Diceros bicornis minor: one gene and its partners. The protein of the gene in region 1 interacts with the protein of each later gene in a pairwise test. Links are inferred from orthologs where the notes say so. Each region holds a gene or a part of one and is shown in the gene's direction. Other genes may lie near its edges.

The links.
Region 2: the proteins of FSD2 (region 1) and ESD interact in binary tests that used the Homo sapiens proteins (3 or more experiments, as listed by UniProt). The two-hybrid records come from large-scale screens. The link is inferred for Diceros bicornis minor from reciprocal best matches to the Homo sapiens genes FSD2 and ESD.
Region 3: the proteins of FSD2 (region 1) and PBX3 interact in a two-hybrid assay, tested with the Homo sapiens proteins (3 studies listed by BioGRID and IntAct). The two-hybrid records come from large-scale screens. The link is inferred for Diceros bicornis minor from reciprocal best matches to the Homo sapiens genes FSD2 and PBX3.
Region 4: the proteins of FSD2 (region 1) and FAM107A interact in binary tests that used the Homo sapiens proteins (3 or more experiments, as listed by UniProt). The two-hybrid records come from large-scale screens. The link is inferred for Diceros bicornis minor from reciprocal best matches to the Homo sapiens genes FSD2 and FAM107A.

What each region holds. Positions count from the first base shown.
Region 1 is NC_080744.1:95,273,951-95,281,220, reverse strand, and holds the start of FSD2 (fibronectin type III and SPRY domain-containing protein 2), read left to right. Parts: upstream 1-4,249; coding exon 4,250-4,894; intron 4,895-5,042; coding exon 5,043-5,138; intron 5,139-6,844; coding exon 6,845-7,075; intron 7,076-7,270.
Region 2 is NC_080748.1:30,151,777-30,159,479, forward strand, and holds the start of ESD (S-formylglutathione hydrolase), read left to right. Parts: upstream 1-4,701; 5' UTR 4,702-4,763; intron 4,764-5,922; 5' UTR 5,923-6,029; intron 6,030-6,896; exon of another isoform or gene 6,897-6,899; 5' UTR 6,900-6,903; coding exon 6,904-6,971; intron 6,972-7,556; coding exon 7,557-7,645; intron 7,646-7,703.
Region 3 is NC_080767.1:34,017,514-34,025,402, forward strand, and holds the start of PBX3 (pre-B-cell leukemia transcription factor 3), read left to right. Parts: upstream 1-4,871; 5' UTR 4,872-4,923; coding exon 4,924-5,123; intron 5,124-5,845; exon of another isoform or gene 5,846-5,919; intron 5,920-6,053; coding exon 6,054-6,127; intron 6,128-7,889. UniProt on the Homo sapiens protein: Transcriptional activator that binds the sequence 5'-ATCAATCAA-3'.
Region 4 is NC_080741.1:58,403,651-58,410,558, reverse strand, and holds the start of FAM107A (actin-associated protein FAM107A), read left to right. Parts: upstream 1-3,892; 5' UTR 3,893-3,991; intron 3,992-6,908. UniProt on the Homo sapiens protein: Stress-inducible actin-binding protein that plays a role in synaptic and cognitive functions by modulating actin filamentous (F-actin) dynamics. Mediates polymerization of globular actin to F-actin. Also binds to, stabilizes and bundles F-actin.

The sequences.
Region 1 (7,270 bases):
CATGTCTGCCAATGAGTGGTGTAGTCTGCACCCAGGAACCGAACCTGAGCCACCCAATGGGAGCACACTGAACTTAACCACTAGGCCATGGGGCCAACCTCTTAGCAGAATCTTTTCAAATACCATGTCTACTCAGGCATGGGGAACAAAAGAAAAAATGAACAAATGGGACTACACCAGATTAAAGAGCTTCTGCAAGGGCCAGCCCCGTGGCTTAGCGGTTAAATGCACGCGCTCCGCTACTGGTGGCCCAGGTTCAGATCCCAGGCGTGCACCGATGCACCGCTTCTCCAGCCATGCGGAGGCCACGTCCCACATACAGCAACTAGAAGGATGTGCAGCTATGACATACAACTATCTACTGGGGCTTTGGGGAAAAAAAGGAGGAGGATTGGCAATAGATGTTAGCTCAGAGCTGGTCTTGCTCAGCAAAAAGAGGAGGATTAGCATGGATGTTAGCTCAGGACTGATCTTCCTCACAAAAAAAAAAAAGAGCTTCTGCAAGACAAAGGAAACCAGGAACAAAACAAAAAGACAACCCACCAACTGGGAGAAAATATTTGCAAATCATATATCCAACAAGGTGGTAATCTCCAAAATATATAAAGAACTCGTATAACTCAACAACAAAAAAACAATCAACCCAATCAAAAAATGGGCAGAGGATATAAACAGACATTTTTCCAAAGAAGGTACAGATGGCCAACAGGCACATGAAAAGATGTTCTACATGACTAATCATTAGGGAAATGCAAATCAAAACTACAATGAGATATCACCTCACATCTGTCAGAATGGCTATAATTAACAAGACGAGAAATAATAAGTGTTGGAGAGGAGGTGGAGAAAAGGGAACCCTCATACACTGCTGGTGGCAATGCAAACTGGTGCAGCCACTATGAAAAACAGTATGGAGATTCCTCGAAAAATTAAAAATAGAAATACCATACGATCCAGCTATCCTACTACTAGGTATTTATCCAAAGAACATGAAATCAACAATACAAAGAGATCTATGCACCCCTATATTCATTGCAGCATTATTCACAATAGCCAAGATGTGGAAGCAACCCAAGTGCCTATCAACTAACGAATGGATAAAGAAGATGTGGTGTATACATACAATGGAATAGTACTCAGCCATAGAAAAGAAAAAATCATCCCATTTGCAACATCATGGATGGAGCTTGAGGGTATTACGTTAAGTGAAATAAGCCAGACAGAGAAAGACAAACACCACATGATTTCACTCATATGTGGAAGATAAACACATGCACAAAGAGAACAGATTAGTGGTTACCAGAGGGAAAGGGGTTTGAGGGTGGGTGAAAGGGGTAGAGGGGCACATATATATGGTGATGGATAAAAATTGACTCTTGGTGGTGAGCATGATGCAGTCTATACAGAAACTGATAAATAATAATGTACACCTGAAATTTCGCAATGTTATAAACAGTTATGACCTCAATAAAATAGTAATAATAATAAAACATATATCCACACAAAAACTTGTACACAAATGTTTTAGTAGCATTATTTATAATAGCCAAAACATGAAAACAACTCAGATGAAATGGGAAACAATGCAAATCAGCTGATGAATAGATAAACAAAATATGACTTATCCATACAATAAAATATTATCCAACTCTAAAAAGGAATGAAGTACTGACAGACTACAACAGGGATGAAACTTGAAACCGTTATGCTAAGAAAGAAGCCAGTCACAAAAGACCACATGTTATATAATTTCATTTATATGAAATGTCCAAACAAGAAAACCAATAGAGACAGAAAGTAGATTAGTGGTTGCTCAGTGCTGGTGTAAATGAAGGACTGCAGGCAGTGATAGCTAAAGAGCTCAGGCTTTCTTTTTGAGATGATGTAAATGTTCTAAAATTGACTATGGTGATTGTTGCATATATACGCAAATATACCAAAACCATTGAATTACACACTTTAAACAGGTGAATTGTACGGTGTGTGAATTATGTGTCAGTAAAAATATTACAAAAGTAGTTAGTATAACACATGGCAGTTCTGAGCTAAGAAGAAAGCAGGGGCTTTGAAGTCCAACAGTTTGTGTTAATCTAAGTCCTCCAAAAAGCAGGTACCAGATGGGATTAAATTTGCAAGAATTTTATTAGGGGAAACACCTGTGTGAGTTAAAATAGGGAGACAGATAGGAAAGGCTGAGAGAGCTGTCTTGTCATGATGCAAGTCTCACACCAAGTGAAGGAGGAGAGGAGGGAAGGTTTGGAAGAAGCATCCTAGACTGCCATGCCCCTTAAGAAAGGTTTGGCAAAGCTGCCAGGGTTTGGCAAGGCTCCAGCCAAAATTCGCCATCAGAGTAGTTTTGTGTCAACCAGAAATGGATCTGCCTTAGTATCTTTGCTACACTTTGTCATCCGATGGGAGATGTCCATGGGAAGCATGTCCTCCATGCAAATATATCGATGGATTTCAGACTGCAGCTGAAACCTCTGGTCAGTCACGCTCCCTGTAGTTGGATATCTACCACCACATCCTCATGGCCATCACGCACACTAAGGTTCAAATCCCAGTTCAATGACTTACTAACTATGTGACCTTGCACAAGCTCCTCTCTCTGAGTCATAATTTCCTTCTCTGTAAGAGGGGGATAACAGTAGTGCCTACCGCATAGGGTTGATATGAGGATAAGACAATGTGTATAAACTGCCTAGCACACAGTAAGCACTCAACAAGTAGTAGCTACTACTAGCATTGTATTTACTACTACGACTATTTCTTCCTAGATTTTACGAACTTCCATTAAAAACAGTGGTTATCATTGTCTATATATAATGAGTATTCTGTTTACTTAACATCATATTGTAAATCTTTTTCCACGTTATCATTTGCTCTCACTAAATATTTTAAAGGCTGCATTATATGCTATAGAGTGTACATATCCTAGTTTACTTAACCATTCTCCTAATCATTAGGCCTTTTCAAAAATTTTTTTGCTATTTTAAAAAATTTAGTGGTGGACATTTTTATATAGAAAAAATTTTCCCCTGTGTTTGAGATACTTCCTCAGGGAAAACTAGATTAAAGAGTGTGAATATTTTTTGTTGTTGTTGTTGGCATATTACTCCTTTACTAGAAATTGTAAAAATATGGAACGCTTCACAAATTTGTGTGTCATCCTTGCACAGGGGCCATGCTAATCTTCTCTGTATGGTTCCAATTTTAGTATATGTTTAGTATATGGAACTCTGTATAGTTCCATATTTCAGTATCTCATGCCGAAGCGAGCATGCGAGTGTGAACATTTTTTTGCTAGGAAAGATTGGCCCTGAGCTAGCATCTGTTGCCAGTCTTCCTCTTTTTTTTTCTCCTCCCCAAAGCCCCAGTATGTAGTTGTAAGTCACTGTAGTTCTTCCGTGTGAGCTGCCACCACAGCATGGCTACTGACAGAGGAGTGGTGTGATTCCATGTCTGGGAGCCAAACCCAGGCCACTGAAGCAGAGCTCACTGAAGTTTAACCACTAGGTCATCAGGACTGGCCAAGAGTGTCAACACTTTTAATGCTCCTGATCCATGTTGCCAAATTTTCTCTCCAGAGAGGTGGGGCCAGTTTACATTCCAACCAGCAGCATATGAGAGTACTCACTGCTCCCTTACCCTGCCTTGGGTATCATTTTTATATTTTTAAATATTTGCTAACTGGAAAGTCAAAATGACATCTAATTTATTTGTTCTCTGTTACTCACAAGGATGGACCATTCTCTAAATGTTTTTGTACAGGTAATATTATATACAAAAGTAATTATTTTGTGACTTGTCCTTGCATGGTAAACTATTAAGATCTTAATTTTTTTAATTAATTCATACAATTTGCTTAATAATAATTGCCTGACACTTCCCATTATTTTCCCTTTCGAGGTTTTTTTTTTAATGTATAGGAGTCTATTGTTAGTCAAATCTATTTATGTTTCTTTTGTCATTTCTTCTGTCTCTTTTAAGCTTAGAAAGCCCATCCTCCTATAGAAAGCAAACTTTTCTTTACAGATAGTTCAAAGTGAAACCACAGCCCAGCTGCTCAGATAGTTTAAAAAAATTGTGAATGAGCGGAGCCCAATCTAATGACTCCCTCCTACAAGGCCATCTCAGAAACGAAGTTTTCTTCCTCTTTTTGTGTTCCAGCACCCAGAATATCCGCTATTAACCGTCCAGGAAGGATCCTTCTTGTGCAAAGGTGCTGCCCAGGTCCTCCAGAGCTACAATGGAGGAGGAAGCTGGGGGGGCGCCGGCAATGCACAGGTCTACTGCCTCCAAGAACTTTCACTTTTATCACATGGATCTGTATGACTTTGAAGACAGACTGCATATCTTCCCAGAAGAAACCACTCGGATGAGAAGAGAAGTAGTCCAAGCTGAAATGACCAGTGAGCCAAGAGGGGCAGCGAAAGGTAAGCCTCAAAAAGAACTTGAAGAGGAAGTGGATGAACTTGTCCATTTATATGGACTTGAAGATGATCACGAATTAGGGGATGAGTTTGTTGATGAAAACATGCCCAGAATAGAGGTTTCAGAATATCCTCCTTATGGGATGATGAGGAGAGAACCAGCCGGGGAGCAGAGAGACTGGAGACTTAGTGGAGAGGCAGCTGAGGCAGAGGACCCAGGCTTCGGAAGGTGGGGCTCGGCAGGCCAGTGCCAGGACTTGCGGGAAGCCTATAGGTACACACGTGGCCGTGCCAGTGAGGAGTATGAATGCTACGTCATCCCAGAGGAGGAGGATGAGGAAGAAGCTGCTGACGTCTTCTGCATCACTTGCAAAACTCCAGTAAGAGCTTTGGAGAAGGTTTTTGATGAACACAAAGAGCATGAGGTGACCCCACTCAATAAAGCACTGGAAATCGCCAAGGTAAATAGGTCTCCTTGGTTCTTCTTTCTCTGGATATTGCATTTATATCTCAAATGTGCAGGCAGGGAATAAATCTAAAATGCCTTCTACAAAAGAGAGAGAGAAAAGATGTACCATTAACATCTTCTTGTGATCCTCTGTTGGATAGGATGAAATTCACAAAAATATGTACAAATTGGAAAAGCAGATTATCGAGATGGAAAATTTTGCAAGTCACTTAGAGGAGGTTTTCATCACTGTGGAGGTAAGAGCACACTTGATGAGCCCACCAGACACACGTGGCTTCCATTAGTGGCTGGGTCAGCAGCTGTGTCTGATATGATTTGGAGAACCTGCTTTCTTAGAATGGGTGGCGTCACTACTGCCCCTCTCCCCTCACTCCTTCCCCTGCCCTCCCATGGCACCTTGGGTATATGCCTCAGGGCACCCACCACCTGTCAGCAATCCCTACTCAACTAGAAGCTCTCCGTGGGAGACTGTGTCTTCTGTGTCTATATATCCCCAGTCCTACTACAAGGTAGGACTCTTTCACGCGCCAGCCTTGACAAGGCATTGCAAAACACCTATTCTGTCATTAATAAGTGTGCTTTTCCTCAGCTGTTATCTATTTCTCACAAGATTAGTAAGTTTCTGTGCCTGCCACCAAACATGTCACAGTCCCCTGGGTGGACCTAATAGGTATGTAGTATACCGCTGTGATGCCAGCACTCAACCTGACCCTCCAGATGAGGTATACCGAGACTGAGGACCAGGGGACCGTCTGTCTCCTCTCTCTTCATGTGGATGCTCTAATCCTATTCATGCAGCCTCAGACTGTATCAACAGGAGCACTCCATATGAATTAACTAAGCCCCAGGCCCCTTTCCCGTGAAGCCTCCAATCTGAAAAGGGAGGAGAGCTATTGCACTAATCCCCTATGGAAGGCAGAGAAGGGACAAGCCCTTCCCCTTCCAAGCTTAGGGTAGTGCTAGGAGGGGTCAGTGTGCAACAGCCAGGACAAAACTCCCTACACTCTGTACTGCCAGCTCACTCTCAGATCAAAGTGTCTTCACCTCAGTGAGGACTCTGAGATCTTCCTTTTACACTTAACTCAGGGAAGTTGTCTACCGTCTTTCCCTCTCTTCCACCATTCTAAGCAAATCTTACGCACATAGTAGGCGCTCAGTAAATACTCCCTGAGTGATTGATAAGAGCCCCTTCTTTGGAAAGTCCCTGTTATGGGTGAGGATGACATCAGTCAGAACCCGCAGAGCTCGCCTGGGCTTCCAATCTAAGGAACAGGGACCAGGAATCCATATGCTCTGACTAATATTTCTCATCCATTGTGCTCCAGGATTATGTACGGTCTCAACCCTCCCTCTGTCTTCCTGACTTTTCTCATCTATTAGGCAGCACCATCTGGCCACAACCCTTATTCCCCTTCCCCTTCATCTTTCTCTTAGTTGATATGAGAAAGCAGTTGATATCTCTCAGCAGATATGAGGATCTGCGTGATCCTGGTGTTTGTATAATCCAAGCATTGAGGGGTGGAGGTGAGTGTCATGAGATGTTGAGAGCTCAGGAGGGAAAGATAAGTGGGAATCGCCCAGAGCAAACATCTTCATATTAAGGTCCAAGGTTCCAGTGACAGGCTGACTCATTCATCACTGATAATCTCCCTGGTTGGTTGTCATGGTGATGAAAGGTGGCTAAAAATGGAGTGAGGAGGACGATTGCAAAATGCTGCCAGGAGAGAAAGCAGTGCTTTTTGTTAAGATTATCCCTGAGGTTCTAGCTGGAGACTCCTGGGTCCTAGCTCCCCCAGTGTCCATCACAGCATCCTGGCAAGAGATAAGACTACGTGGAGGGACTAAAATAGCTACAATATAGATACATTTTCATGCCCCAAATGACTCTGTTGTTGACACACCAGATGCACTGAAATGATGACTGAGGGGAACTGTCTTGCAGGAGAATTTTGGAAGACAAGAACAAAACTTTGAGTCACATTACAATGAGATCTTGGAAACACTTGCTCAAAAATATGAAGAAAAAATACAAGCTCTAGGGGAGAAAAAGAAAGAGAAGCTGGAAGCCTTGTATGGACAACTGGTCATCTGTGGAGAAAACCTTGATACCTGTAAAGAACTGATGGAAACAGTAGAGGAGATGTGTCATGAAGAGAAGGTTGATTTCATCAAGGTCAGTAATGAAGTGAAATGAAATATTGAACTGAAATGACAGTTATAGCTGGAGTAGCTTAGGTTGTTCCTTCTTCACCTGGAGGTATTGGAATTGCCTTTTATGGTCAGAAGCCATTTGGTTCGACTCGATATTCACGATGGTGAGGTTGTCACCTCCTCTTTCTGCACAGCTTTGCCATGAGTGGCCAAGCAG
Region 2 (7,703 bases), on another chromosome or scaffold:
TGCTGAGTAAAAGAAATTTTAGTTCTGGTTATTATCATACTGTATTAACACAAAAATCCTTTAGTAAAAGACCTCATGCTCACAGTTCTTAGGCTAGTCCGCACCCCGCAGCAAATCAATTTATTAAATAAACACCCTTTAACTTTCTTCAAATCTTTCCTATCAGTTCTAAATAACTTGCAACCTTGAGTATTCTATTTTAGTCGTGAAACCCAGTTCGAAGAAAACTCCCTTGTCAGTAATGTATATTTAAAAATAGTAGAAAGTAAAAAGAATTTTTCACTTCAGTGCTTTCTTAGAATAAAAACATTATTTTGATTAGATAAACATTATCTTCAGGCTGAGTCCCAACCCAGCCACAGGTCCACAGGTTCAGTCCACAGGTTAGTTCAGTCCACAGGTCATTATGGCAAAATGGGCCTGGGCCACAGGACAGATTCCAGCATCTGTATTTATAATATCAGTTCCCATAGAGGTTATTTCACCTACCAGTCCTTTCAGCAGGATCAGCCACATAATTTGCAGGGCCCAGTGCAAAATGAAAATATGCAGCCCCTTGTTCAAGAATTATTAACAATGTAGCACAGGAAATAATTAAACCAAGGGGAAAATTAAACCCAGTGCAGCCTCCTCTGAGATGGAGACCCTGTTCTGCACAGGTTGCATGCCCACGAAACTAGCCCTTTTAGATTATGTCCTTTACAATCTGTCAGTATAGCTGTTGGTTAAAAAAAAAATTTTAAGGTTTTTTGTAATCAAGTTCAGTTTTCTCAACAGGCAAAGTACACTCACAATCACTTCATTTAAATGAGGGCAAAAAATCAAGAGATTTCCTGTAAGTCATCAACCAGCAACTATTAATTCAACTAATTTATATCGAGAGAGGGGAGAAAAGAGAACATTGGTGGAGCTCTTACTATGTGCCAGGCACTGGAGATTTTAAAATGACCCTTGTTTAACTCCAGCTACCAAGTAGGTGAACTGGCAAGATTTCGGGGATGGGGAAGACTTGATATTATGGTTTCTACATAACTTCAAAAAGCAACTTGGAAACCCTTTCCACGAATTAAGTAGGGCAGACCTCAGGCTTATTCAAGCCTCGGCCTTTTCCTGCGGCCTCCGGGCGAGGGCGGGCCAGCGCGCTGGCGGGCCTTGACCTGGGTGCCCGCGCCAGAGGCCGGGGGGGGGGGGGTGGGGGGGGGTGGGGGGTGGGGCCGCCCACGTGGGGGCTGCGGAGAAGTGAGCGGTGAGGGAGGGGCGGGACCGTGGGGGCGGAGCCTTCGGGAGCCGGACCGTGGAAGAGCCGGGCCGAGGAGAATGGACTCCGGAGTTAGGCCCCCCGCGAGTGGGCGGGCCCGAAGGAGAGCGGGGTCGAGGGTGGGCGGGCGCTAGCGGGGGCGGGGCCGAGCGGCGGCAGGGGCGGCCATGTTGAGGCCCCCCCTTTCCATTTTGACTGCTTCTCCTTCCGCCGCGGCCGCCGGAGGTAAGACTGGCCCGGGCGGATGCCCGGGTGTCCTCGGTCCCCTGGGTTTGGGGCCGCACGGGCGACACGGCGGGGGCCGGTCGAGGGGGACGTGAGGCCGGCGGCGAGTCCCGCAGGCGGCAGCGCGGAGACTGCGGCCCCGGGGCGCCGCACATGACGGAGCCGGGGCAGCAGGCCGAGGGCCGGGGCGCCGAGGCCAGGCGCTTCCCACACCCCGTTTCCACACTGAGCCTCCACGAATGTGTAACCCGGACGCTCGGGCCTGCGGCCTCCGAGGAGAAGCTGCGCATTTATGCAGCGCCCGCTGCGTTTATCTAGTTCTTTCCATCTTACATAGGGTCTTCTCGCCCTTGACGCCCACCGCGTGAAGGAGGTGTGTCCCGGTTTACTGGCGGGACAGGCCCGAGCGGTGGCAGCTCCACGGGCGCCTGCGTCAGGACGCGGGCCCGGGGAAGCGCACCTCCTGGCGCGCTCGCCGGCTCCTTGGAGTCTGCTCGCGTCGGAAACGCCCTGACCGGGGCAGGGGACCGTTTCCGCTGGGGTCCTCGGGGAGGTGGTGTGTGAAGTTGCGGGAATAATAATAGCTGAGATTTGTGTGCGCGTCATAGCCAGCAGTGTTCTCAGCAGTGCGTAAATTAACTGCTTTAGTGCCGGGAGCAAGCCTATCACATCGATCGTATCGTATCCCCATTTTACAGTCGGGGAAATGAGGCACAGAAAGATTACATAGGTTGCCCGAAGTTATGTAGTATGTGGTGAAGCCAGAATTTGAACCTGAAGGGTCTGGCTCCAGAACCTGCTCTAAACCCGTTGTACCATAGCGTTGACTAAAGCCACCCCGTAGAAACATCCAGGCTATACTAGAGTTATACGTAATTGAGTTTGACTACGTTAAAATAATGGAAAGACCAGAAAAATAGTGTGGGACCAGTGAAGACAATTTTGAGAGCCAAGTTAAGGTGTTTGGAGTTCGTGGGTGCTCTGTTTTTTCCCGAAGGTGGATTAAAAATTAATATGGGCAAGCCATGTGAATTTTTATGAAGGAAAAGAGACTATGCTTAGTACACAGTTAAAATGTGAGTGAAGTGTATGTGGAGTTTCATTCATCCTTATTTATCTTGTTGTCAGTTCTTCACAATTTCGGTTTTATGAAGTTTTAATGGCATCAAACTTGACAAAATTATACTGTACAGTATAATGAATTACATCGTCTTCCATTTCAGTGACTTATTGGTGTTCAGCTGCTAGCCTGACAGCTGAGTGGGATTAGCTCTCTACACCTGTAGGAACAGCTTGGAGGTGGTCAGGCATTTCTCATCTGCTAGTTAATGTGGGCAAGCTAACAATGTTTTTAAAATTGACGGAATATACTTGACACTACTGAACTATGCACCTAAAAATGGTTAAGACTAAATTTTATGTTACGTGTTTTTTAGTGACAATTTTTATAAATAAAATAAAAAATAAGTTAAAATGATTAACAATTTCATGTAGGCCATTTTAGGTCTGAAGATGTGACATAGGTATCCATCAAGCAGTAAGTTAAAAGGACTAAAGTCCTAGGCTTCCATGCAAGATTGATTTTAGTGGGACGTACAAGAAGGAAACAAAGTAGGAGGCTAAGTTTTAATTTCTTGTGTATAATTAGGATGGTGGCAATGGGAATTCAAAGAAGGGGTAACTTGAAGACATTTCAAACGTAGATTGGGTAAGATAAGCATGGATGTAAAGAGAGGCAAAGAAAAGGAGAGAAAAAAATGGTTTGAAGGTGGGAGATAGAAACTTAGTTTTAGATGTGTTGGGTTTTATTAGCTGGTAGCATATCTTATTAGAAGGGTCCAGCAAGAAATGTAAAATTCTGGCACAAATGCTTGAAAACGATCTGGAGATGCAGGTTTTGATTCTTCTACCCAGAAGATGTAGTTGAGATGTAGTTGAGACTAACTCCTAACGGAGTTAAGGAAAGAGTGTATGTGAAGAGAAAAGGAAAGGGAGATGGGAGGAGAAAGAGAAAGAGTGGAAGAGAAGAACTCAGATCCTGAGTTTCCACTGAGCGGAGGATTTAAACGAAAAAGTGGTGGTCAGCAGTGCCGTGATCCAGTGATGTTGAGGAGACCTGTGTGGGTCATTAAGAGCCAGTGGAGTGGGACACTGAAAATGAAGAAATAGATCCAAGTCCAAGGAGTCTGAGAGAATGGGACAAAAACAGAGGTAGAGATAGAAAACTGCAGACTCATTGGAAGAAGGAAAGAATGGGTAAAAATACGAAGAACAGAGATTTCTGGAGGTGGATGACATTTAGCTTCAATAAGTAAAGGGAAGAAAAGTAAGATTCGACACTTCGACCTTGAGGGGGAATGGATACTTTGTGAATAAAGACAACTTTCTCTTTAATGGTTTTTACCTGATTGGCTTGGCATGTACACCAAGAGAACCTTTCTTTTCTAAAGAACATTGATGTTCATTTTATTGACTTTCTAGGAAAATTGTGTAACTCGCACTGACACAGTGAAATTGTTTTTGGTTTTTCGGGTGGAGTGTTATTCTACTCTACTCTTTCACTCCATTTCTCCCACCATATCTGTTCTAGAACCTAAATGAAAGATCAGACAGATGACACTTATAGTATGTACTATGTTAAGTTGCTATTTATTTATTACTGTGTATCAGTCACTTCAATGTCATTCATAAACTGAATTTTCTCACCAGTTCATCCTTTCTAGCCAGCCAACCCAGTAGTCCTTAAGTCCTCATCGCTTCCCTCCTTTCTCCTCCCTGCATTCCAGGTTTGATCTACAATTCTTAGTCAGGCATGTCTAGGCTTTTTATATTTCTCTACTTTTCTAGTACCCACTCCTGATTTTCTTCACTCTCAGCGGTTGACTATATCTCTTACTTCCAAATTACACTTTAAAACTTTTTTAAAATTTTTAAAAAGAAAGACTTTCTTCATAGGAATCTTATTCTAGCAAAAGTTTTTGACCAAAAACTAGGCCTTGTGGCAAAATGGGTATTCAGGAAATTAGATTAAGGACTGAGATGAAGGGGTGTGCACTTCGATCAGCTGCGTTTTCCAAGCTGCCATAGCCAGCGGAGACCATCACCCACCTCGAGAGAAGAAAATGTCCCTGTTGAGAGTGTGTAGTGTACTGTACATGTCTATATAACCTTTATGGTAAAAAGTATGTCCTGTTTATGAAGCATTTGGTCTTTTTTTTAAGGATCGTCTACCCTTTGGTGCAGACTGAAAAGCAAGTAGCAATTGGACAGTGTCTTATGTGTACATTATTACTTATGTGTACATTATTATGTGTTAGTTTGAAAGTTGTATGTAAAAATCTAATAACCTGGTTTAAAATATGTTATTTTTCACATAGAAAAATTTTAGTGAAAAATGTAATCACCTAGTATATCATGTCATATATCATAGTATATCTAGTTCTTAGCTTATGTCATATTTTTTATTGAGCCTAACTTGTTTCTTGATTTATAATTGAAAGTAGTTTCTAAAATGGGTGGTTGGGGAGAAAAAAACTTAAAAAGCTTTGATTTTTTTTTTTTTTTTTTAGTTCATCCTACCAGTTTAAAAAAACATTATTTTAACTTTGTTTTTTCTTTGACCAAATGGAAAGTATTTGATTTTAATTAAAGAACATTCAAAGAGCAGAGGAAATTGACTAGTTCTCGTTTACTAATATAGATGAATTGAATAACAAAGTATAGAACAATAGAGATAAAGGACAAGCTAATTTTTAAAACTTTCATGTAATCGGTAGTTAGAAGTTAAAAAAATAAATTATTCATTAATTCAACAAATAATTATTGGGTATCTCTTATGTACTGGATATATGTTCAGTGTACCATGTTTTGGGAAAGCAGACATAGTCCCTGCTAGGTTTAAGAAAATAGGATATTCTTGTAGAATAATTCAGTAAATAATTGTATTCCTTGGTCTTGTATATATGTTAAAATTATACATGTATTTCATTTAGTTCATTATTTAAGAAAGGATCATGAACAAGAATAGCTGAAATTAATATTCAATAATTAATAACATCTTGTGAGAAATTTGTTGTTTAAGAATTGATCTTTTATAGATAAGAAGCATAAACCTGTGAATAGAAGGTAATTTCTCTATGTGTATTTGAAATACCCTAATCCTATAAAATTAGTTAATCTTAAGAGTGTCTGGGAGGAAAAAAAAAAAAAGAATGTTTAAAAAGACCTGCTAGGAGGCAGGAGAGCATAGCAGCAGAGTCTGCTGATGAGTCTCTGATATCAGACTTTCTGGTTCAAGTCCCAGCTTTCAAATGCAAAGCTAAGTTTTGGATTTATTGAGGAGATTACTTAAACATAAGGTTGAAACTAATCTTATTTAGAATTTTTCAAAGACATTTCCAAAATTAGCTTTTTAAGATGATTGTTATATATCTTTTTAGAGTAACCCTAACACTGCACCTGATGAGCATACAGTAGAACATTTCACGGAGAAGACCGCCAGAGTGGTAATACCTATTCCTGGTATCTGAGGATTTTTTTATTTGGTGTGTACAGCTTACTGATTTTAATAAGAAGGGGAAGGGAATCCTTTCTTGAGAGATACAAATCAGAATCAACAGATGTTTATGATAAAAATGGCTTTCCAATTTTTTTGTATTTATTATTAAAACATAATAGTGTGTGATATTTTAACATGTAAGTTTAAAATTATTTATGGAAATTTAAAAGATTTGTTTGAGGAAAGAGAATTATAAAACTTGAGAATTTCCCAATGACAATCTGCACTTGTAATTCACTTAAAACAGCCTGTGTTTTACTTGTTGGTTTGTTTTAAAAGAAGAAATGTTGGTCTAAAAGTTGTACATCACTTTCTCTGAAAAACTCATAGAATGAGTAATGTGATCTGGTTTAGCATGTAGAAGGTTGCCTATCACACTGTAGATGTTCAATAAATGTTATGTTATTATTAAAATCATTATTATTACATCATTTTCCTCCCTTTTTAAAATCAACCATAATCAGTCCTATCAATTCCTTGACTCCTTTGTTACAGCTTACAGGTAAGCTATTAACAGTTTTTAATCTTCTAAGCCAAAATAATCAGTTACTAACATATTTTATTCTGCCTCTTTCTAAAAAGAATTTGGGGCAGTCCACACACACAAAAAAAGCTTGTTAATAAATTAGTAATGACATACCAAAGTACTACAGTTTTCTAAAGTGAGTAACAAGTGTAAGTGTGTGTATGGAAGTTAGTTTCTTAATATTGTTTATCAGAGAAAATTAGCATGTGAAAAAATATTCTAGGTGGAAAACAGTTGTATGTTTGGATAATTTATCTGAAAAAAGTTTTGTTTCAAGTTTTTAAGGAACTAATTCTCTAGAAATTAATGAGATTAATCTTCACTAATAGGAGAAGAATGGCATTGAAACAGATTTCCAGCAACAAGTGCTTTGGAGGATTACAGAAAGTTTTTGAACATGACAGGTAACTACTAAGAAGATACGGTTTTAGATATATCTTGTTCTGCTTCTATCTATTTGAGTCTTTAAATAAGCCCATGAAAGATCATTGGTGCATGAATTACTGCTTACATGGAAAAATACCTGTGGTTTTATCAAAATTATCTTATCTAGTTGTGATTTTAGTTATTGTAATAAAATATTAATGATAAAGAACGAGTTAAGAATGTGTACATTTTGGTACCCATGAGCAAACATGAATTTAAGATCTTTAGAATTCATTTTTTATAAAAACCGATTTATTATTTCATACATCTCTTTAGAAACATAAACAATTTTTCTTTTAATAATATTAGTGCTACACTGAGGATATTACATTTATTCTTTTAATTTATTCTGTCCAAAATGACTATGTGCCATGCAAAGCATAAACTCAGGTTGATTAATAGATCTCTATGCTAAATTGGCCCCATTCTTTCTTTAAGGGCCAAGGTATATTTCTTAAGTGTTGGTGGAATCCCTTATTTTGGACATTGAATCTCTTATTTTATGTTTCTGTCTTGACTAATCAGGGGCATTGATTTTTTTGTTGTGACTGTTAAAATTACAGCGTTGAGCTGAACTGCAAAATGAAATTTGCCATCTATTTACCACCAAAGGCAGAAACTGGAAAATGCCCTGCGCTGTACTGGCTGTCTGGTAAGCATTATACATTTGAGTTTTATAAAGGAATTTCTTTTTCTTTTTAACTGGCTTA
Region 3 (7,889 bases), on another chromosome or scaffold:
TAAAATCTGGGTTCTGTCAGGATGGAAGGAGGTGGGCCAGTGAACGAGAGGTGAGCAACTGACAGTGTTGGCCTCAAGTGCCTACTACATATGAGTCTGCACTGTAGTAGGTGCTATGAGGAATGAAAGAACATAAGAGATGGGGCTTTCTATCAAACCTTCTAGAAGTTATATATTCCAATAAATATTCGCTTTTAAGGACCTCATCATAGAAGGATGCACTGTTATCTCACTGATCCTTTGGTTGCTCAGTCAAATACATCCTCAGAAGATGAAGATTTGTCACATGTCACATATGTTAGCAACTGGGTAGAAGACCACTTCTAAAGAGTCATTCCTAAAGTGATGGAGAGATGACATGTTTGGGAATAAGTACTTAGTCAGTTTCCCCAAAGTAACAACTTGGAAAGTTTAACTCTTTCTTAGATGTCTAAGTTTTGGTTGTTTTTTTTGTGTGTGTGAGGGAGATTGACCCTGAGCTAACATCCAGTGTCAATCTTCCTCTTTTTGCTGAGGAAGATTAGACTTGAGCTAACATCTGTGCCCATCTTCCTCTATTTTGTACATGGGACGCCACCACAGCATGGCTTGAGGAGTGGTGTGTAGGTTGGTGCTGGGGATCCGAACCAGCGAACCTTGGGCCGCTGAAGTGGAGCACGCGAACTTAACTACTACGCTGCTGGGCCAGCCCCTAAGTTTTGGTTTTTTTAAAAGCTAAATCAGTCATGTTATAGTCACGTCTCAAAATACTTTGCCCTTAACATGCTTATGAACTAGATGAGAAAATAAGCAGGTGAACTGAGAACAAACAACACAGGACTATCTAGAATGGTGCTAAATTATATATTATAGGCAATATGTTCTGAGAGAGTTTAGAGCAGATGAAGATCAGTGAAGGCAAGCCCGGTAGGAAAGCGTCAGAGAGGCGGGGTCCTAGATGGCCATGAACGATGGCCTGGCTGGGCTTTGGTCTGTGTCAACGTCAAATGAAGATATTCCCCTCCTCTGCTGCGTGAGACCAGGATTCCTCTAACAGAGTTATTTATCCTCTTTTTATTAAATACCTAGTTACTTATTTTCACTAATTTACAGTTCACCTGTTAAGGCCTCATGATTTTTACTTAGTAATCTTGATTAAATGACTTTTTTTGTACAGTGTTTATAGGGTGGGCTTTGCAGCCACACAGATCAAGATTTGAATTCATGGTCCAGTACTTACTGGCTTTGTGGTCTTGTGTAAGTTCCCTACCCTCTCACATTTTGTTTCCTTATTTAATAATAATCTCAGCTAGATAAGGCTGTTGTGAGACTGAAATAAGATGAAATAAGGAGAACACAGAGCACAGTCCCACCCTGAGAGAGTGCTTGATAATGACATCTGCTGTGATGATCATCACATGGATGACAGAGGCAATGGTGATGTTAATATAAACCCATGGAAAGGGATGGATATGAAAGAGCCCCTACTTGGTTCTCACCACTTTGTCACTGTGAACTTTACATGAATGTACACCCACCAAAAGTAAATTACATTTCCCTTGACTTTTTAATAATCACTGCCTTCGAAACAGCAAAGATGGATTCAGGTACTTAGGGAGGTTCTATTCTATTATCTGCGAAGGCATCACCCATGTGACCCAGATTGCTGAGCAGAGACAAGGCAACACCCTACATGAGAAACTGGCAAAAGCACAAGAGATCTTGGAGATGTGCAATTAGTTGACACTGTTTATTGGGGCTTGGAAACCAATCTGAAAGAATTTATGCTTTAAATCAATGGCAGTTGCCAATGAGCCTGTGAGGGAATCCTCGTTAGGACACTCTGGCTTTTACTGCAAGTCATATTGATAATAACCAAAAGAGAAGCCTCCCAGGCAGAAGGTCAATCTAACCCAATCACTTAATGCAGAATTATGGTATCAAGTTTCTACCTCGCTGAATGACCATGGGTTTAGAGGTGTGTGCCATCAAACAAGCTGCTGGGGTTAGACATTTAACAAGTTGTTTCATTCCTAATCGCTGGCATGTGCTTAACTGTTTTCTTAACTCTAATTTATGTTTTTATGTTCCAGTTTGTTTACATAGCCCATAGTTCCCAATTGCCTTTATTTGCTTAAGTGTTTCTTTAATTTTATTTACATTTTTATATATGTTGCTTTGCTTACATAACTCATTGTTTTGGCGTGAGCTAGAAATAACCATAAATCCGTATTGCTAATTAGCCTCATCTTCATGACTGATTAGTCAAGATTATGAGCCTAGAAAGAGGGCAGGGAGGAGGCCGGATAGTGAGTCACAGGATCATTGAATTTAAGAGCTGGAAGGAATTTGGAGATTAAGGCATCTTTCAGCTAGAATTCCGTGGTTTTACATCTTCAACGTTGGAGAATTATGAAAGATTCGCTGCTTGCTCTTGCTCCTTTATGTAAAAATGTATAAGGATTTGGTGACAGCTTTGAAAAACAAGTTAAGAATAAAGAGAAAGCCTAATAAATGATGACTATGAACAACCCATAATGGGGGTTTGAGAGAAGAATCAGAAGCTTGACACACAAATGGGCTACAGAAGAGCAGGGAATATTAATGAACACGAGGGAGCTTCTTCTTTGGAAGTTAGTAAGTGGAGTGGATTGTTTGGAACTCTCTCTCCAGCAGCTGTGCAGTTTGTAAAGATTTTAGCTTGCCTAACTGTAAGGTTAGCTATTAGCTTGGCAGTGGGGAGTATTTAAAAGTACACACAACATATGAAGGAAAGAACCTGGAACCGACTAGCCTGCTTCATTCCAAGAATCCATCTGGCATGTAAAGAACTGCTTGTCCTACATTAAACCCTGCAGAGTGAGAGCCATTTTTCATATCTCATACCCCTATTTTTGGTTTCAGGTAAGACAGCTTACTGAGTTTGGGGAAGGAACACGAAGACTTTTCAGAACCACCTAACCAAAGGACCCATCTGGGGTGAGCTCTCTGAATCTAAAATGGGGAAAACATGTTGAAGCCCTGTTTGGGAAACCAGGTAAAGAGAAAGCGCAAGTGTCCACAAGAGGTGGCAATCTAGACCCTCAAGTAATGTGAGCCTTTAGTCATTTGAGACAGAGTACAATGGAAGAAGAGGGGTTATAGGTATGAAAATCTGTGGCTGGAGTCACTTACATTAAATGACTCGTGGTGATGGGGTAAGTTGATAAGTGAAACCCAGCCTATCCCTAAATAAGCATATGTTTGTAATAAAGAGCTCGTTTTTGCAGCTTTGGTCTATCTGGAGGCAACTAAAAGCAAACGCTGCCAAAGGAGTATTCCCTGGATTACCAGAAATTGCAGAATGTGTTAAGGGTGGTAAACCTTGAATTAGTCCTGGATGTCAGGCCCTTTCTCTTTTCCCACATCCACTTCCCTCTGACACATTTTCATATGCTCCCCTTTCAAGGGAAAGTGTATGGCAGTCAGATTCGCTCAGCGCAGACTTCAAACATGCGGGACCACGGGCTCTTACCTTACCTGGTCACCCCTTGAGGTCCAAGAGCTGGCGCCAACTCGGAGCAGCGCCCTCTCGGTTACTATGGTGATCGCGAGAGGGGCGGGGTCTCCATCCACTGCGTCCCCGCCTCTGCCCAGGATATTTCGAACGCTCCAATTGGGACCGCCCTTTCTTGCCTTGGTCCCGCCCTGTTCGGCTCCAAGCGCGATGCGATTGGTCCGGGACGGGCGGCCGGGTACCCTGTGGGTACCCCCTCCTGACCGGAATAGCGGGAAAGTGTAGCAGGCGCTGTCGGAGGCGTGAAGCTCACGGAGCTGCGGGGAAGCACATGGTTGGCTTTGGAGCGAGTTGCCCCGTGTCCCATACACAACTCCTCGCACCCATGACTGCTAACTCTAGGGAGCAGGAGCTGGGGTGCGGTCACAACGTTTGCGGTCCAGGGCGGCCCATCCTGGGGGGCGAGGACGCGACCAGCCGTCAGGATCCGGTGGCGCGCTCTCCCGCGCTGGGGATCAGAGGCCAGAGGGGGCGGGCCCAAGCCCGGGGGCGGCGCCAGCGGCGGCGGCGGGAGGTGCAAGTGCCAATGAGCACGCGCACCGCCCCCGGGGGCGGGGCCTGGAGAGCGCTCCCCCGCCCTCGCGCTCGCCCCCGCCCCTCCCCCCGGGCGCGGGGGGCCGCAGTGAGTGAGTGGCACTGGCAGCCTGTCAATCCCTCAGCCGAGCGGCCTTCGAGCCTTGTCCGCGGCGGCTGCTGGCAGGGTGCGCGGCTCCGGCAGCGGCGGCGGCGACTTCTCCCGCCCCATCAATCTGCTGTCCGCCCGGCGCGTGGCCCCCGGGGGCCCTCCTTCGGGCTCCGCGCCCCGCCGCGCCGGTCCGCCCGCTCCCAAACTTTCCTCCTCCGTCCCCCTCGCTCCCCTCGGCCCGCCCGCCGGCCTCCTCCTCCGCCGCCGCCCGCCGCCGCCGCTCCCTCCCCCGGGGCCGCGGGGGCTTGGATCCCGCCCGGCCGAGGCGGCGGCGGCGGCCGAGGGAGGGGAGTGCGCGGGCCGGCGCGGGGGGCGGCGGGCGTCCCGGCAACTCGGCCGGCGCTGAGGAGCAAGTTGCGCGGGGCCGCCCGGCGGGGCGCGCGGCGGCGAGGAGGCGGCGCGGCGGCCGCGTGAGGGCAGCGGGCGCCGCTGCCTCCGCCTGCGCCAGCGCCGCGGAGCCCGGCGTTTCCGCCCGCCGCTGCTCCTCAGCCTCGGCGGCGGCGGAAGCCGGAGCCGGGCGCCCGTCCGCACCGCCTCAGCCGCGGGCCCCGCCGGCCAGGCCGCCCCCTCCCCGCGCGGGCGGGGAGCGCGCGGCCGACTCCCCCTCCCCCTCCCCCTCTTTCTTCTCCTCCCTCGTCGCCGCCGCCGCCGCCGCCGCCTCAGCCTTCGCCGCCGCCGCCCGCTCCCGCCCGCGCGCGGCGGGATGGACGATCAATCCAGGATGCTGCAGACTCTGGCCGGGGTGAACCTGGCCGGCCACTCGGTGCAGGGGGGCATGGCCCTGCCGCCTCCCCCGCACGGCCACGAAGGGGCGGACGGCGACGGCAGGAAGCAGGACATCGGCGACATCCTCCACCAGATCATGACCATCACGGACCAGAGCTTGGACGAGGCGCAAGCAAAGTTGGTGTCGTCTCGTTAAGCATCTTTTGTGTGCGTGCGGAGCCGGGCCCGCGGCCGAGTCGGGGCCCGGGGTGGCGCCCGGGCAGGGGCCTCAGCCCCGGGCGGGGAACTTTCTCCGAAAATCTGCCGCCCGCCCGGGCCCCGGGGGCACTTGCCCGCGCCCCTCGACGCGGGCGGGAGTCGGCAAAGTTGCTCCCGGCGCTCGGGACGGACTTGGGCCGGCGCGGATGGGGCGGGTTTCTGTCCCCCGGGGCCGGCCCCCTCGCAGCCCGGCCCCGTCCGCGGATTCAAACCTCCCGCCGGGCCCCCGCGCACGCCGCCCCGGGAGGGCCCTGGGCCGCATTCGAGGAAAGTGCAACTTTCTCCCGCCCGGAGTCGCGGCGCCCGGCTCCGCCCGGCCGCGGGACCACCTCGCCGTGCCGGCGGCCGCCCCAGCCCGGGCGCGGAGCGCGGGGCGGTTCCCCGGCGGGGCCGGGTGCGGGCGGCCAAGTTCTCGGCGAGGGAGGGCCGCCTCGCAAACTTTGCCGAGCTGTCACCGCCCGCTGGCCGCGCTCGGCCGCCGGCCCGCCCGCCCGCGCCGGCTCCCCCTGCGGAGGGCGGGCGCGGGAGCCCCTCCGCCCTGTCCCCTCCCCCGGGGGGCGCCGCCTGCCCCCGGCCCGAGGCTGCCCGCGCGGGTTCGCGCCCCGCGGTCGCCGAGGCTGCTGCCTGCCGGCCAGATGGGTCGCGCGTCGCTCGGGCTGGCGCTCCGGCCGCCGGAGCTCGCCGGCTGTCGCTCACTAGTCAACTTGAGTTTCTGGTGACTTGCCGCGGTTCACGGGAGCCTTCCCCAAGAGTGGGCCGGAATTAAATCTTGGGGCTAACTTAAAGGAAGGCGCCATATTATTCCATAGGTGATGCTAATACCTTTGTGTTTTGCGATTTGTTTTTTAGGAAACATGCCCTGAACTGTCACAGAATGAAACCCGCGCTCTTCAGCGTCCTGTGTGAGATCAAAGAGAAAACAGGTAAGACGCTGCGCCCCGCGGTGGGCCTGGAGCCCCCCGAGGTGGGGTCGGAGCTACTCCTTCGACTCTCCAGTTGAGAGCTGCTGCTTTTGGGCACCGCCATCTTTGATCATTCTCTCCTTCCCACCTCCTGATCTTGAGAAAAAACTGCCATAAATCTGGAGTCGATTTCTCCATTCCGCTCCTGGTGTGAAATGAAGTGTAGATGCGGACGGGGCTGGGTCGCTGTCCCCAGGCGGCCGCCCCTGGCTGCAGGCGGGGAGGGGGCCCGGAGCGCCAGCCGCTCTCTCCCGCTCCTTTCGCCTTGTTTGTATGTCAGTTTTTAAAAGGAGCAACGGGAGACTGGATGCCGGGGACCGAGTCCCCGGGAGTAGCCTCGCCCGAACTTTGTTTTACTTAGACAGCCTTAAGCTTCAGCTCCGCAGATAGAAGAATAGATGCAATTGAACCCGACCCCAGTAGCATGTTTGAATTCGTGTTTTAGTTGGGAAGACTACTTTTAAGAAGCGAGGAAGGGTAATGATGTGTTCAGCCATATACAATGTATGACATCTATTAATACTTTCATTAAATTTTATACTCGAAGTCATTACATTCTAAATATGCTTAATATATATTATAAAGTAGAAAAAGGTCCACAAATGCAGGTTAAACAATTTTTGAAGTGTTCACGGCAGGGGATATATGAAAAGAGAGCTTTTGCAGAAGTGCTGGAATGAAAACTGCAAGTACATATTAGACAAATTTCTGGCAATTCATTTCAATTTAACTTTCTTGTTAGACTTTTTAAAATTGAAGGTATTTTAGTCTTGAGGTGATAGTAGCGACTCAAGTGGAATTAGAGATTTAATATAGATGTTTTAATTCGTATTTGGCAGTATTTGCCGTGTGTTTGGCAAATAAGTGCGTTAAATAAGCGTTACTGTTGATTTATTTATTTATTTTTTTGGTGAGTGTAGGCTATATAGTATTACAAAGTTGCCTTTTTTTTAAAGTTGCCATTTTTTAAGTTAAGGCAAAGAAGAGAAGGTTGAAGTCCAGGGTATAGCAGTGTCCAAGTGATGCCATTTAATAGGTTAAATGTGATTGTGTTTAAGTTGTGTGTACAAATAATAGCACACTGCATATAATCGTTGGTTGGTAGAAGAGTTGCCCTCCTTTTTAAACAGATTTTCCTGTGCAATGCTGTTGTGATCCTAAAAGTAATCAAGAAAAGATGATGAGTTATTGCTCTCCATTAAAAATACGCTAAAACCATAATTAACAGCAAATATTGAGAGCCTTAAAGAGCACCTTTTCTGCTTTTCAGTCGCATAGTATGCAGGGTCTCTTAATGTTGACTAATTCTTTTTAAGATATATTTTACATTTTGAAAACCACAGGCATTTTAAATTACTAACTTTTACTCTTGATTTTTAGCTACCTTTAGAAAGCATTGTGATTTAAAACTGGAGATAATTTTTATCTAAGACATCGAGCATTAAATCTTGAAGATTCTTAGTTTGGAAGCCTAAAAGTGCGTAATTCTCAGTAAATTATGTTGCTTAATGTCCAAGGGTTTTCTTGCTATCAGGGCTCCACTTTAGTTTCTGCTGACAGCTAAGCACTGGAGTATTGACTATGTTGTGAATATTAAGATTGATTCAACTTTATACGGCATTATATTACTAGGGAGAGGGGATTGGTATTCTTCCCCACTCATCCCCTTCTCGTGATTTGTATTTATTTTTTTGCCTTCTTAAAGTTTTGGCCTAGCCAGCTT
Region 4 (6,908 bases), on another chromosome or scaffold:
CTGCCAGTACAGCTTCTCCCCCCATGGCCTTCCAGCAGAGCGTGTTGGGGGTGGGGGGGAGGTTAAATCCCAGGGCTGTTTTGTGGGTGGCTTCTCAGAAACCACACTGAGGCCTTGAAAAAGGGCCTTGGAGATTTAGACTGAATACAGCGCCAAGGAGGAGGTTTTGAGTTGGCATGGAAACTTCTTGTCTGATGTTTGTGGGCCCAGATAAGCTACTCCAGGCTCCTGTTGGCTTGGAGAAAGGGAGGCAAAAATGAAAGGAAAGATGTTTTTGAAGTTTTTTTATGCAAGCTGCAGCCCCAGCCCACTATAGATACAGGAAAATTCCCCAGCTCCCAGTCATGACAGCCTCTCCTGGTCTTCACTGTCACCCTTCCTTTTGGCTCCTTTAGTCCCCAAGAAAACAGACTTCAGAGGGACGGGAGATGAGTGTAGGAGAGGTGTGCTCAGCCTCTGGGATCTCCCTGCAATCCTCAGTGCGGCTGAGCAAGGATTCTGATCCCCAGGCCCCTGGCATTCCAGAGTCCTTCCTTTCGGGCGAATGAGAAGGCCTCCAGGGAAGGCCACACAGACCAAGGCAGGAGGCAGCAACGGGGGCTGGACTCGGCCCTTACCTGGAGTAAACTCCTAAAAGGTTCATCTGCTCAGAGGACCTCTATTTTCCAATACTCAAAACGGACATGCCTGAACCACAGGTGAATCATAACTGTAGTTGGTTGGAAAAGATTGCTCTTTCTCATATTTTTCATTTTTATTGCTTTTTTCTGATAGCAAAAGCAATATATGCTTGGGTTTGCTTTAAGCCACAAACACTACAAAAACGTAGTGACAAAGGAGAAGGGCCTGTAATTTTATGCTGTGGAATAGTGGTTCTCAAACTCCCGAATATAAACAAATCCCCCCAGGGACATGTTAAAAATCCAGATTCCTAGGCCCCTCCCTCATAGGTTCTAATACAGTAGTCCAGGAGCGTGGCCCAGTAATTCCAGTTTAACACGCATTCTAAATGATATCTAATAGTGACATCTGAGATAGATTGATGTAGAACTGAATTCTTTTGACAGTTTAATGTATATGCATCCAGATTAGTTTCTATGTATGTACTACACATATACTATATACTATACTAACTTTTTTATCTTGGGGAAAAAAGGGGGGGGAGTCATACTACATGTGATTTTGCTGTTTTATTTTTCACCAGACATGTGGTGGATATCTTTTCAGGTCAATAAATAGACACGCTATTGACTGCGTCCCATCATGGGATGTAGCCTAATCTCTCACTGATGGCTGTGGCTTGGGAAATGGTGGCTATTGATCGCTGATCTCACACACAGTTACACACACACGTATGCACTCACATGCACACACACACACACACACAGCAAGATGGTGCTATAACAAGCTCAGGATATCAGTGTTTCTGGTGTCTGCAAGTCAACAGTAGTTACTGAGCACCATGGTACTGGGACAGGAACACTAAGAAGGACAGGAGAGGTCCCTGCCCTCAGGCTGGCAGTCTGGTGGGTCAGCCTGATGGGTTTGTACCCGAGTTGGACTGTGAGAAGAGCTACAGTGGAAGAAGTACAGTGAGTCCCAACTGCCTGGGGAAAATGGCCCCCAACCTCGGGGGATTCCTGCCCAACACTCGTTGGCGCTTGGCTGCTCCGGGGCTGCCATCAGTCTTCCAGTAAAGGGAACGCAAAGTGGGAATGGAGGCCATTGCTGGCACGAGGGCTCTCAGAGTCTGCTCCTCCGGAGTGAGCTGGATTACGGGATTCTGTCTCTCCAGGTGGTGAGCACAAGCTGTCAGCAGTCCTCCTGCCCCAGGATCCCTCTTATTCCTGCAGCTGTCAGAGGGCACTGGGACTGGTTCAGGCAAGCCACTGTGGGCCCCAGGAAATGCCCAAAATAGTCATTTGTGCAGCAGGACAACACATGGCTGGGGACCAGGGGCAGCGAAGAGTGGTTTGACAAGACCGCATTTAGTTGTAGTCTTCCATGTCAGAATTTCGTGAAGTTAAGCCACAGCAGGATGGGAAGCTGGAGGAGGCTACCACGCAAAGTACCTCAAGAGAAGCAGAAGTTAGGAAGAAGAAACGAAAAAGACCACGTGTTGTTTCCAAAAAATTGTTCTATACCTGAGAATTCGTGACCCTCTAAGTGTAAGTGGCTGCAGAATGGCCGGCTTGGCCAAAGCTCCCAGGACATGCAAGACCTGCCCCCCGCCCCCTCTTCTGCCCTGTCTCCCACCGTCCCCTCACCCCCAACACTCCAGCCCCCCGGGCCTTCTTCCATCAGGCCAAGCTCATTCCCCCACCGGGGGCCTGTCCCTCTCCCTGGAATCCTCTCCTATGGGAACAGTCTTCACCTTGCTGACTCCTTCTCACCATTCAGACCTCCCTATAACTTCACCTCCTCGGTGTCCACCCTTCCTGAGCTGCCAGTCCCTCCTTTCACCTCACCCCGTCTTAATTTCATCATAGCATTCGTTGTAGCTTCATGTTTTCTTGTTTGTCTCATTTTTTGTCTGTCCCCCTGCCTTGAGTGTAGGTTACCTGAGCACAGGGTTGTGTCTCATTCACACTGTAGCTCCAGCCCTGGAACAATGCCAGGAACACAGTAGGTACTCAATAAATGTTGGTTGAATGAATAATAGAAGCCAAAGAGGACAAGAAACGCATTTTTAACGCCCCCCTCCACGTTCGATGTATGCCATGGGCCTCATCGCCTTCCAGCCAGCCAAGACCCTTCATGAGAAAGCGAAGTTGGAACGAGGGCCATGTTTAACTGGTAGATGCCAGCTTCCTCACTGGGAGACTAAGGATAATGACAAAAGCTGGAAAACACTTCCAAATTTTCAAGTGAACGCTGATTCTGAAACTCAGAGAATGCCTCCTTATCTGCAAGCACCCAGGTCGGCCTTCAGCACCTACACACACTCTTTATTTTTACATCCACATTCGCTCACTGAGCCACGATTTATGGAAGGCAGATTCTGCCAGGCTCAGTGCTACATGCTGGGGCCCTGCCCTCAGATCACGCTGCGTCCGGTTCTCTCTGCAGGAAAAGTCCTATTTGCTGAGCATTGACTGCATGCTTTCACTAATGTCATGTCACCTATGTTATCTCCCAACCACCCTGTTTTTCTCCACATTTGACAAACACAGAAACCAAGGCTCAGGGGCATCGGGGGCTGCCAAAGGGGTTGGTGCCCGAGCCGGGCTGACACAGGCGTGCTCCGGCCCAGAGCGGGTCAGCTTCAGCTCCCCCACGCTCTCTCCTGTGCCACATCCTGTTGGCTCCTCCCTGAAGTTCAGATGAAGTTCAAGGTATCAAGTAAATAATGTGGATGGAGTTTTCGACACATTCGTGGACGACCAAGAACTGACCCAATGCGATTTCCCCTCCCTTGACCCCCAGAGCTGTTCTCTCCTGAAGAACTCGGCGCTGCAGCAGGAAGCCCGGCTCCCCCTCCGCCAGGATGTGCTGGAATGCACTCTCACTGACCCTCTATTAGAAACAAGGGAAATGCCTCTATTTGAGCCGCCTTGCTCAGAACAAAGCTTGGCGTGTTTCTTATTCCTCAACAATCTGACAAAATAGGTATTTATTTGTGCCTCTCAAGCATGTGGCTTGGACACGGTGTTCCGCGTCGTGGAAGTGGCCCTGTACCAAGTGAAATACCCGTTACTATAGTAACAGTTCCTTTTTATTGATACGAGAATAAACAGGAATGCAAAGCTGCCTCACTCGCTGGCACATTTGAGCTGCCTGCCATCCCCAGGGGTTTAAGAACCGCCCTTTGGAGGCGGCCCTCCTGGCTAGTCTGGGACTTCCCGGTGGAGCCAGGAGCCAGCAACACTGCTCCCGAGTTCCCTGCCCGACGGCGCAGCTGAGAAGTAAGACCATTTCTCTTCTGTTTCACCTGCTGTCGAGCTGTGCCGGGAGGAGGTGCAAGGGAAGGAGGGCAGCCTCGGAGCACCAGGTGGGCGGTCAGGGGAGCTGAGCTCTTTGTGCCTAGGCACCGGGCCTATGTCCCTGCATCTGAGAAGTGTTTGGGGGGTGCCTCCTGGCACCCTGGGTTTGGGAACAGGATAGAAGGCCAAGTGGAGGGAGTGCCAGATCCAGCCCTCCATTCTTTTTGATCTCTGTCTTCTAAATCCTCAGATGAATCTGCATTTATGCACGCTATAACCTCACCTAAGCCCATTACCACAGGGTGATGGTTTTAATTCTCTTCATAACTGATAGACAGGAGGCCAGAGTGCTCAGGGTGGCGCAACTGGGAGAGTACAGGTTTTGGTGTCAGTCAGAGCTCCGCTCAGATCTAGCTTCTTCATTCGAGGGCTGTGTGATCTGGGGAAATCAGATGACCCCTTGGAGCCTCAGTGTCTTCATCTGTGCAAAGGGGTGATGACAGTACCCCCCTCCTCAGTCTGCTGTAAGAATTTCATGAGATGTGGCTGTGAGGGGCTTGGCACAGTACGTGACACATAGCGAGCGCACGTCAGCATGCTAACTGCCTGCCTTTCCGGTGAATTTGGCTTTAGCGTTTTACAATACAAGGCAAGTCTGGGCTTGAGCCAAAAACCAGGGGTTATAGGAATGGGTGTGTCACCTTTTGGAACTGTTACCAAACCCAGGTGGTTCCCTGGCTGAGGCAGCCCCAGTACCTGTGTCTCCGGTGTCTGTGATCCTGTGTGGCTCTTAGCGCTGTTGGTGGTAAGTACCTGCTGGGGGCAGGTGGAGTGGCTGGCGTCATGCCACTGGAGGGCCAACAGGAATATCTGGCCTGCTGACACTTGTGCCTTGATCCACTGCACAGCACTGTCCACCAACCTCGCTAAGGACCAGGCATGTCCAGCCCTGGACTTGGCCTTGGAATTCATTCAAAGCCCCGAATGCCCACCCAGACTTGCTCCTCACAAACTAGGAGGTCACAAGGCAAGATGCTGTGTTGAATCATTTTCTCCCAGGGTGGGGAAGTGGCATCTAGGTGGACAAGCAGCTCTGACGGGGGCTTCTAGGCATCGGCCACAGTTGCCGGGAGATCTGAGTGGTTCCCCCACACACTGTCCTGTGGTTGCTGGCCAGTGGAATACAAACGGGCACTTTCCCACTGGGAGGAAAAACGACAAGGGTTGGGAAATCCATGGCCACACTTGTCACTTTTCCTGAATGCCTCTTTCTGCTTTGCCAGTGCCTCCCTTCTCCTCTGCCCCTCCACCCCATGGAAGGTTGAACCAAGGTCACAGTCTGTTCTGAACCCAGCAGCTTGAGCAGTGATAAGGAACAAGGGCTGGGCGGGGTGGGGGGAGGCGGGGGCAGAGGAGTGAAGACTGGCCAACACCCTGGGGAGGGAAGGCCACCAGCTGGTCCCCTCCTAACAAAGACCAGCCGTGAGCAGACAGGCCTGTGGATTCCGGCTTAAGCCCCAAGCGGCTTGTGAGAGTTTGTTTTTCGTATGGGCCGGGAGTCCTCCAAGAACCAAGCCTCCATTTCCTCCTCTATAAAATGGGCTCGCACTGCCTCTTCATTGGGGTTTCTTGAGTATCCAGGGAGAGAGAAGGGATGTAAATCCTCTTTGTTAACTGAAAGACGCTTTGCATCTAGAAGATAGCAGAGTGGTAAAGAGAGCACTGAATTTGGAGTCTGAAGGTCCTGGCTGGGCCATTTACTCTGTATCTTGGGATACAGAGTAACTTGTAGCTTGGCCTCTCTAAGCCTCAGTTTTGTCATCTCCAAAATGGGAATAATAAAATAATACCACTGGCTGCCTCCCAGCAGGATTGTGAGATCCAGGTGGAGGTGAGTGAGCCTTCTTCAGGTGTCAAGTGCTGGCCACAAGTCCCCTCAGGATAGGAGACCCACACTTCACCCTCGGTGAGCATCACTCTGCCAAGCCTGGGCTAACCATATCATACACATTATCTCATTTCACCCCCCCACACAGCCCCATGAGTAGGTATTGCCATTATCCCCACTGTACAGGGGCTCAGAGAGGTTAAGCTATTTGCCCAAGGTCACAGAGCTAGGAAGAGGTGCCACCAAGATTCAAACCCAGTCTGTCACCTCCAAAACATCTGCTTTAACCATGTTGCTTTACTGGCTCACGTGTCATTTGTTATCATTGATGCCATCAAGGATGGAACCAGAACCACCAGGGCAGGGGAGAGGGCAGATGAAGGGGACATTAAGGCCTTAGACAGCCTGGGGTCCCTCAGCTATTCTCAGGACGAACTGGGACCTGGGTCTTCATTGGTGCCACATCCCTCCCATCTCTCCTTATCGCTCTCCTGCACCGGGGGGCGCCAGTGTTTGGTTTCAATGCTGCCCCCCTAACATTAGCCACGCGCACCCCAGAGGCCTGGTGAGCTCACCCTGGGAGCAGTTAGTGATCCCAGCCGAGCCTCGCCTGGCGTGGGGCTGACGTCCTGCAGAGCCTCCAGGGAGGAGCGGCGGGACCTCTTGGGTCATCAGCAGAACTGGGAAGACGCGAGAAGCTCCCCGTCTCTCCTCGGACCTCTTATTATTTACCCCCTGCCCTGAAAGATGAGGTCGGTCCTACAGGCTGCATATTAAGTGAGAATTATTTGCCCATCTCGTAGTCATGCAAGACACTCAATGTAGCTGATGTCTTCCAGCTGCCTCTACCCCGTGCCCAGCACTTTAGCTCGTCCAATCTTCACAGCATCTTGATTTTACAGGGGAGGGTCCTGGAGGTTAAAGACGCATCCAAGGTCACCCAGCTGCTAAGAACTGTGACCTTAATCAGACCTGCCACGAAAACCAGGCCAACCAGTCGGCTGAAATCACTCAGGCCAAAGCAAAGAAGCTTGGTTTGTTTGTTTTTGTTTTTGTTTTTAACTCCATGGTTTGCAAAGTTGGCTGACTACTGGAAT